Linked DNA regions of Danio rerio. The protein of the gene in region 2 interacts with the protein of the main gene of each other region in a biochemical or structural test. Links are inferred from orthologs where the notes say so. Each region holds a gene or a part of one and is shown on either strand. Other genes may lie near its edges.

Evidence for each region. The genes of interacting proteins can lie anywhere in the genome.
Region 1: the proteins of eif2s2 (region 2) and eif2s1a form a complex in vitro, tested with the Homo sapiens proteins (2 studies listed by BioGRID and IntAct). The link is inferred for Danio rerio from reciprocal best matches to the Homo sapiens genes EIF2S2 and EIF2S1.

The regions. Positions count from the first base shown.
Region 1 is NC_133192.1:35,958,765-35,963,967, reverse strand, and holds the end of eif2s1a (eukaryotic translation initiation factor 2 subunit 1a), read right to left. Parts: intron 3,402-5,203; coding exon 3,197-3,401; intron 1,649-3,196; coding exon 1,505-1,648; intron 1,226-1,504; coding exon 1,100-1,225; 3' UTR 690-1,099; downstream 1-689. UniProt on the Homo sapiens protein: Member of the eIF2 complex that functions in the early steps of protein synthesis by forming a ternary complex with GTP and initiator tRNA. This complex binds to a 40S ribosomal subunit, followed by mRNA binding to form a 43S pre-initiation complex (43S PIC).
Region 2 is NC_133181.1:52,639,327-52,644,529, reverse strand, and holds part of eif2s2 (eukaryotic translation initiation factor 2 subunit 2), read right to left. Parts: intron 4,516-5,203; coding exon 4,415-4,515; intron 1,142-4,414; coding exon 993-1,141; intron 873-992; coding exon 816-872; exon of another isoform or gene 1-815.

The DNA of each region.
Region 1 (5,203 bases), on a different chromosome or scaffold from region 2:
TGATTTAAACACATTCATAAATCTGATTCACTGAAGCAAGTATGACCAAACTACACTGTAAAACCCAAAAAGTTAAGGTAACTCAATCCATTTGAGGAAGCTGAGTGCAACAAACCATAAAAGTTCAAAAACTATTCCTAATGAGTACTGTGAACTTAATCCATTTGAGTAAACGAAGATATTTGAGCACAGCAAAACAATATAAATGAAGAGAACTTAAACCAACAGTACTGTAAAACCCAACAAGTTAAATCAACTCAAACCTTTGAGTTAAAAAACTAATCTTTATGAGTACTGTTAACTTACTCAATTTAAGTTGAAGTAATGAGGTATCTAATTAACTCATTACCTTCAACACAGTTCAAACTCTTTTCAAAATAAATTTCAAAGTTTGAGTTAACTACACTCATTTAATTTCAGAAAGTTGACTGTTGGGTTTTACAATATACTACCAAAAATAGTTGGAGCCCCCCAGACATTTATTCTTATTTCTTAATAATAATAATGATAATAATAATAATAATAAAATTACACATTTTTAAAAATTTGTTACAAATTGTAACAAAAGAAACAATATCTGCCAATATACCACTTTCCTGTTTAGAAAAATACATCCAAGTGAGAGAAGTTATCATCTTGAATAATCTTTGATGTAATCAGCAGCACAGAACAAGAGACATGACAAAATGTACATGAAAACTGCTTGTTTTTATTAGCTCTGTGGAACAGATTTTTGATAAGTAAACTGGCTGGCTGTCTATAAAGATTTCAGTTTTGCTTGTTTTTTTTTTGTTTGTTTTTTTTTACCACAAATCTCATCTTGAATAAAGCTGGAAACGAAGGTCACTTAAATCAACTACAATACTATCTGTACTAACATTCCTAAAGTAAAACTAGTGTTCATGGAAGAAATTCCTCTCACGATTCTCATCCGATAAGCAAAAGTACATCAATGTAGTCCACATCTCTCACTCACAATCTGCTTAGTATCACAGAAGCAGTGTTTTTTTTCAGTCTTCATGATGTGATAACCCCTTCACTATAACTCTGAAGTCTCTGGAATGATTATAGCACTGCTGGTTTGTCGTCTTTCTTCAGACTAGTCCTCAGTCTTGGCCTCCATTTCCTCTGCATCATCATCTCCATCCACCTCAGCATTTTCTCTCTCCAGCCGCTCCAACTGTCGTGCCAGCTCCGTCTCATCCGTGTCCGTCACAACTTTTGGCTTCAGGGGCATTAAAACAAGTCAAATAATCAGAGAGGGATTTATTTATTTTGCATAGCTCTTCACTTTGTTGTTTTAAATGTGGCCAATATCAGATTTCCACTGTGAACTGCCCAGCATGTGCAAAGCTAAGCAATTCCAGCGTTATGGATTAGACATTTTAAAAAATAGACTTAAAACATACATACACATGGTTTACTGCATTCTTTAAAAAAAATCATAAAAGTTTGGATAAATTGAGGGTAAGTAAACAGTGAATTTTAAATGCTAAATTCTGACCTCCATCTGAATGTTGAAGACGCCTCTCTTCTCTTCGATCTTCTCTTTAATGACGGCCATGGCTTGATTGAGCACAGAAAGGCCCTCTGTGCGCTCCAGTGTGGTCGTGGTCATAACATATCGAGGAGGAGCAATCAAGTTGATCTGCAATAAAAACATTATTAATTTTCCTCCTGATTTATCAATGGTCCGCAATTGTACTGACACGCGGCTGTGGTGAAGAACTACACAGTGATTGTACTGTCTTTAGTACAAACATGCACCGTTTTATAAATGTTTAAATCCTGTAAAATTCTTTCTTGAGGTGCTGCTGAACACAGAGCTGAACAGATCTTTTAACTGCAGTTGCTTTGCGCACATCTTGTCTTGTGGATATGATTATACACGTTACTAGTAAGGAGACATGTTAAAACGCGGATGTCAATCAATTCGGTGGGCGGGAAAACAGCACTCCTACATTACGGTCGGCCTCAAAATGTGAGGGATTTGGATCCTATATATAACGTCAGAAAATTAAAACAAAAGAATTATTGTGTCTCTATCACTCCAATATGACTGTGGACACACTATTCCTACAAATGGTTCTGTCCAAACAGCTTACAAATAATGATTGTGATCATAGGTGCCCTGTAAAAACAGATTTAGTCCACAACTAAATACTGCAATGTTTACTGAGATACACAAATTGATCCTTTTCTTAAACTTTCTTCATTGACAAAATAAAACATCTTGGGTTCAAAACAAAAATTGCACAATACTGATATTATATTAATGTGCTACTCAGGAAAATTGATATAGAAAGAATTTTGCTTCTGTGTAATTACTACATCGTAATTTAATAACTTGATTTATCTTGTCATTATGACCACATTTTTAAAGACTATTTGCTATGTATGTTTTCTTATCATGCAGTATATATAATAATATAAAATACCACACTACAAAACAAATTACATTCTTTATTCCTCCATGATTCTTCCAGTATTATCAGTGTAACACCTTATCAAAACAAAACAAATAAATAAAGTGTTCAAATATTTAAACATGAATGTAATACAGTTGAAGTCAGAATTATTAGCCCCCCTTTGATTTTTTTTCTTTCTTTTTTTATATTTCCCAAATGATGTTTAACAGAGCAAAGACATTTTCACAGTATGTCTGATAATATTTTTTCTTCAGGAGAAAGTCTTATTTGTTTTATTTCGGCTAGAATAAAAGCAATTAAGAAAAAAAAAAAAAAACGAGGTCAAAATTATTAGACCCTTTAAGCTATAATTTTTTCGATAGTCTAAACAAAAAAACCATCGGTATACAATAACTTACCAAATTACCTTAACCTGCCTAGTTAACCTACTTAGCCTAGTTAAGCCTTTAAATGTCACTTTAAGCTGTATAGAAGTGTCTTGAAATATATCAAGCCAAATAGTATTTACTGTCATCATGGCAAAGATAAAGTAAACCAGTTATTAGAAAGGAGTTATTAAAACTATTATGTTTAGAAATGTGTTGGAAAAAATCTTCCCTCCGTTAAACAGAAATTGGGGAAAAATAAACAAGGTGTCAAATAATTCAGACTTTAACTGCATGTATGAATGGTCCATATACAGAGACTCAATATGGGACATCAAATTTCAGGGATGTTATATATGAATGAACTGACATATCTGAAATAATTTGTGGTCTAGTTTTTACCTTGATGGGCATGCACTCTGTTGAACATGTTAGTCCTGCTCTCAAAGCCTCCTTCACTGCATCGATGCCCTCATACCCATAGCAGGCCACCTCAATGTCTGCTCGGATTTTGACAGCCTGTGGAGTGAGGCGTCTGTTGATGTTATCAATCAGGACTGCTCGTTCCTCCTCTGTCAATTCCAGACAATCTAATATAGCTGGATCCCTACAAAAAAAAAAAAAAAAAAAAACACAAAGAGGTGGTTGACACAAAAACATATCTACATTTACTCAACCTCTATTGTAATTGCTTGTTAGTTTTTTCACAATGACATTTTAAAAAAAATGTTGAAAATCCTTAGCCACTGACATCAATAGTAGGAAAAGAAAACCATGAAAGCCAAAGACTACCAGTTTATAACATTCTACAAAATTAGGGCCAGGCGATATGACCTAAAATTAAAACATCCATTAAATAAACATTTTACCTCAATTTTGATTACTGAACGATTGCTTTATTTTAAATGTAATTATTTATCCATATATCCTTGTCAAAAATGGAAAATAACAAGCATCTTGTTAAAGGCAAAATTACATTTTAAATGTTCTTGTGAAAAGTGGAAAAAGTATTATAATAACTTTTTCTTATTACAATAATAATTTCCATCACCTGTAAACAAATGCTAATTACATTTTATGGTTCATATTCTTATTGCATCTTTTTATTGTTGTGCTGTTTCTGCTATGGTTGGTATTTTGCCTTGTAGAACTTTAAGTCTAAGAAAAGCAAATTAAAAATAAAATGTATTATTAAGCAGAAGGAAAGTGAGCGAGTGATACTTGACATGTTATAGGTAATTTAAAAAAACAATAAATAAAATAAAAACATAAAAATAATTGCATTGTCTGCATTTACTCAAACTGATTCGCTGTAAAAATGAAAAGTAAAATGCGGATGGTATTAGGGCTGCTCGATTATGGGAAAATTCATAATCATGATTATTTTGGACATAATTGAAATCACGATTATTCAAAACGATATACAATTGAAGTCAAAATTATTCGCCCATCAATTTTTTTCCCCCAAGTGATGTTTAACAGAGCAATGAATTTTTCGCAGTAATTCCTATAATATTTTTTTTTCTAGAAAAAGTATTTTGTTTTATTTTGGCCAGAATAAAAGCTGGTTTAAATATTTTAAAGCCTATTTCAGATTTTCTGCAGAAGAAACTATTGTTATACAATGACTTGCCTAATTAACCCAGTTAAGACCTTTGAACTGCACTTTGAGCTGTATGCTTGTATCTTGAAAAATATTTAGTAAAATATTATTTGCCATCACCATAGCAAAGATAAAAGAAATCAGTTATTAGAAATGAGTTATTAAATCTATCTTTCCGCTAAACAGAAATTAGGAGAAAAATATAAAGGGCTGCTAAGAATTCCTACTTTAACTGTATATATACAGTTAATTTTCTCCCTGTAAATAAGTAAAGGGAAATAAATACAATAGAGTAAAAATATTAAACAAATTGCGTCTCAAGCATCGTTCTTTACTGTAAGAAAAAAACTTTTTTATTAGAAAAAAATTATAACTAAAAATTCCTTCAGTCAAGAGCAGTGAGTGATTTTCTCCTTTTGTTGTTTGATTAATATTAAAAACAGTCGGCAGCAGGAATATTGCATGCTGTCACTTTAAGAGCAGTGCGGTTCTGATTTATGGTTTTACTTTCACATGTCTAAATTCACATGATTCTCAACTCGTTTATTACACAAATGAGGATTAATATGAATAATCACAAAACACCTCGTTTTGACACGAATTTGCATGTATTTGACCATTAAAGCACTCACATTAAGATGACTAGATGTTTGTGCTCTACTCGTTTCTGAGGCTGGGCGCATACACACAACAGTATGTGATCCCTTTTGTGGTTTTAGAAACATGAATGATTAGAATGTACACCAATGAATGATGCGCATCCCGTGCTGCAAAAGTTACATTACAATACATGCTTTTAGTCATTT
Region 2 (5,203 bases):
GTAGCTGAACAGCTAATCAGATAGTTCTCCATCACTGACGCTGACTCTACATGTTAAATCAGGCAATCTCTCTAAAATGAGGAACACACCAAACAAACTAGCCTGACAGACAACCACCGATGGCCTGATGCTGCCTAATGGCCAAACAGCAGGTTGGTGTCTTTGCCTTAACACTGAGCTGTCAAAACTAAAGTCATCAGTTAACAAAAAAACCAGTGGACTTTTTTAAAGTCTTTTCATGAGATATGTAAATCAGTCTGCTTTACTTTTAATAGCGCCTCACAGTCAGTTATGCCTCTCAATTAATTCATGTTTCTCTCTGACATCATGTGAAATGCCTTCAGCTAAAAAATGCAGTGTTCTGGTGGAGGTTTTCAGACACGCAGACACACTGGAAAAATAAACCAAGAGCTTGCCAGATTGTGAGACAATATTTTGCAAGGTTTGTTGTTCAATGATGAAAAACAACCCCTGCTTCAGCCGTGCTCCCATAAATAACAGTTCACTTACAGATTATATAATAATATATGGACAGAACAGCATAAGCAGCTCTTTCCTGGAACGAAGTACAAAGGTAAGCTGTCGCTCCCTAGAAAAACATTTTTGTGATAATGATTTAAACGTTTTTACTGGAATACACTGAACGTTGATTCAACAGATATGTTAAGGGCTGAAAACCTGGGGCTTGTCATGAAATGCTGATTTTCATGCTAAATAATAGTTTAATTCTCAAAAAAAAGCATCTCTCATCTTTAAAAACTAGTTATTCTGTAATTATGGGAAGAGCCAATATTAATAATATATAATAAACTTACCTTGTACCTAACTCAGCCAACAAAAAAGCCAAAAGATGTTTTGGCTGTCGATGCAACCTGTCAAAATAAAAGCAGAATTGGAGGATTATGAACTATAAAAATTATGAGAAATGGTTGATTTTCCATGTATTCACTAAACAAACTCAATCCAGAAAACGCAGCGTCTGCTTGACTCACAGTTTGCAGATGTCTGTGAAGTTTACGAAGGAGGTCTTCTTAGTGCCGACCCGCACCACCTGAGGAGGCTTCATCACAAACTTCCTCTTTTCTCCGGCGACCATGTCTGGATTCTTTTCCCTCATGATGTTAAAGACCCTGTTCAAAAGCTAAAATCATGTGATATTTTCAGTCACCTTTAATCTTAAGAGCTGATGCAACCAGTCATTATTTAACAAACTATAATTATTTATAAACTCATTATTTAGTCTCAAGAGTAATCAAATGTATTGGTGTCAGGAAAAATGCTTAACATGAAGAACAGGGATGTAATGATTCCCCATAATCCAGTTGAAACTCAATTAAAATATGTGAAGTTAGACAAATTGTACTACAGTGGGGGACCATTATGTTTGCTGCAAACTCTGTTTTAATTTCTGAGAAATTAAAATAATTTAAGGTGCTCCATTGGATTGATAGTGACATGACGCAATATCTTGCTGTAAGTAGCTATCATAAAATGTGTAGACTGTGGTCATAAGGGATGGAGATGGTCATCAACAATACTCGGGTAGGCTGTGGCGTTGACAATGCTCAATTGGTACTAAAGGGACCAAAGTGTGCCAAAAAAAATCCCCCAAACCATTATACCACCAACACCACCAGCCTGAACTGTTGATACAAGGCAGAATGGATCCATGCTTTTAAGCTGTTGTCGCAAAATTCTGACTCTATCATCCGAATGTTGCAGCAGAAATCGAGACTCATCAGACCAGGCAACGTTTTTCCAACCTTATATTGTCCAATTTTGGTGAGTCTGTGCAAATTGTAGCCTCAGTTTCCTGTTCTTAGCTGACAGAGTGGCACCTAGTGTGGTCTTCTGCTGCTGTAGCCCATCCACCTCAAGGTTGGACATGTTGTGTGTTCTGAGACGCTCTTGTGTAGACTTTGGCAAGTGGTTATTTGAGTTACTGTTGCCTTTCTATCAGCTAAAACCAGTCTGGCCATTCTCTTCTTACCTCTGGCATCAACAAGGCATTTGCGCCCATACAACTTCCACTTACTGAATATTTTCTCTTTTTCAGACCATTCTCTGTAAATCCTAGAGATGGCCGTGCGTAAAAACCCCAGAAGATCAGCACATTTAAAATAACTTTAATCACCTTTGTTTTTTCATTCTGATGCTCGGTTTGAACTGCAGCAAATTGTCTTGACCATGTCAACATGCCGAGTTGCTGCCATGTGATTGGCTGATTAGAAATTTGCGTTAACGAGCAGTTGGGCAGGTGTACCTAATGAAGTGGCAGGTGAGTGTATATTTTTATTGTACTAAGAAATGTGCAGTATTTCAGAACTAATAAAAGGCCACTTTTTCCTTTCATATCTCAATTCATTTTGTGAAAAAAATCATATCTTGAGATCTGTATTGTCAGTCTTATTTAATTATAAATTAGGTAAATGGTTACATCCACAGTAAAAAAAAAAAAATAGTTTCCGTTTTAATGTGACCCCACATTGTTTTTTTGGATATTACAATTCATGTAGCTTTAATAAAGCGGATTCTAAATGTAAAAGGTCTTTAAAATTTCTAAGATCAAACTGCAGGATTAAAGGTGTTACTGGCTCAAAGGAAAGAATCAGTTCTGAACTGCCTGAAAGAAGTCTTCATTACTTTCAAGTCTCATACTGGGTTCCCACTAACATAAACATTACAACATTTACTCTAGATTACCTAAGAGATGCTGTTCGCCTCATCCAAACACTTCCTCTCCAGTTAAATAATTTTCAAATATGTCACATAATTCACATCACCTGTCACAAATATTTTTATTGACTTAGTATGTGATCAATTTATCCAAATACTTGAAAAAATAGCTTTTGAACAAATTTGTATGGGGACACTTGCGTATAAAGTATGAAGTAGTTGTTTTTTGTTGAGCTGCTCTTTGCTGACAAAAAAGTTGGTACTCCAACTTTTGTGTCTTTATTTTGAGAATTGTCAGTCATACCCCTGATTTATTTTTTTTATATTTGGGAGAGGGATTTCACTTATTTTTCCTCTCAAAGTCAAATTTAAGACTTTTTAATAAATTTTTAAGACTATTATAAATAAAATTTTGGACTTATACGGAGTTAAACACTAAAGATTTTTTCTAATGGCCCAGTTGCTTCTGTTAATAGCTTTTGTATTAATGGAAGATTATGTAAAGGGATGTGTTGCTTTAGTTTTCTTTCCCGGATTAAGACAATTTGCTGTAAAAATGTGAGAAACAGCTGTTGTGAATTGTATTATTTGCAATAAATATAAAAATATATGTAAAAACATATAAAATAGATATTTTTAAAACATTATAAATAAAATATTAAAAAAACAATATAAACGTATATAAAAAAAATTTGAGATGGATTATTAGTGATGGATGTTGGACCGATTGGGTAGCTTTACATGGACCTAGGAAAATCAAGACCTGCTTAAAATGATTTAAGACCGATGACACAATATTTCAGTGAATTTAAGATTTTAAGGCCTAAATTGTTTTTTTAAATTAAAGACATTTTAAAACTTTAGGAGCCTATGGGCACCCTGTAGGAAGCTTTACCAAATTTGTATATGGCTTGTCTATAAGTTGTAGTTGTGGCCTGGAAGAGTTTGGGTTGTGCTGTTGACATGGGTCTATACACTGCCGTTTGAAAAAGAAAGGTTTTAAAACTCAAAACTTTAAAACTTTTTTTAAGGACAACAGTATCTCCAGCAGTAAAAGATATCCAAAGATGGTGTTTTAAATTGTGAGAAAAAAAATCTGCTTTTGACATAAATGAAGACAGCTGAAGTCAATATTTAACTTAAATTATAGCCTGACATGTTTACTGCTCCAAAATATTTTAAATGTTTCTTAAAATAAAATACATCGTGTTTGAAAGGGGAAAACGTTTTTTTTTTATCCAGACATTTAAAAAGAGCATATATTAGAGCAGTAATTACAATACCGTAAAACTGTGATATTTTTATCCAAGGTTATCATACCGTCAGCATCTTATACCGGCCCATGCCTAGACATGGCAAGCTTTTATTCTGTATTAAAATGTTTGTTTATTTTAACACTAAAACAACAGATGTGTCTAAGTTTAAATAAAAAATGACTATTGAACTAAACTAAAATTGTATTTTGCAACATTCTGGTTGTCCAAGGTTGCTGGAGCACATCTACAGTTTTCATGATAAACTACATGCATGTGATCTTAATGAGAACTGACTTCTACAACGAACTGACTACAACCAATAAAAATCCTCCGCATATCAGTAGTCATTTCCAGTATGTCTCATAAAAGACAAGTTAGCAGGTAAAATATACTCTGCCAATAAATGGACCAGATGGCAGAAGTCTCTGGGCCTTCATCACCTGAAACACACACACAGCAAGCCAGCCTTTTCTGCCATTTACCTCATCATAAGTGTAATCTCTTTCTGATCCTGCCCACGCAGGGCCCGTCTGTGTGCTGAACGTGATGTCATCAGCGTTTTTACTGTCATCATCTTCGACACCTTCCACATAAACAGCACACAATTAGACTGTAAACATTTCATTAGGGCTGCACAATATGTCATTTAAGCATCGATATCCCAATGTGCGCATTTGCAATAGTCACATTGCAAAGATATGCAATGTCTAGTCTGAATTATAGCTGACCAGGAGCCACAGAATTGTATTTAATCACTGCATGTATACGATTTATGCAAGAAAAAAAAAAACCTTTCTTACTTTTTAGTTAGTTTCTAGTCCAAATATCAATTTCAAAGCAAAAACAAGATTTCACTTGCCCCACTGGCAGATCATTTACTCTTAAACTTACATTTATGTCTTCTGACGGTGAAAACAAAACAATATTTTACTTTGTCTAAATAATTTGTTTGATATTTGGATCATAAACAAGACAAAAGGTAAGCTTTTTTTTTTTTGCATTATAATTATTCAATTTCTCTACCTGAATACAAATCGTCAAACAGCACTATTCAAACTGTCTTTTATCTCTTATTTATTGCAGAACAATAAAATATTGCAATATCAGATTTTTTCTAATATCGTGCAGCCCTACATTACATTGTATTTCACTTCATCTAAAATGTACAGAGACTTATAATGCAAAGAGAATTATATAATGGCATCAACATCACTACTAAATGAAAGGCATATGAGTATCTGTATAATGCACACCCCACAACTAGATTTATA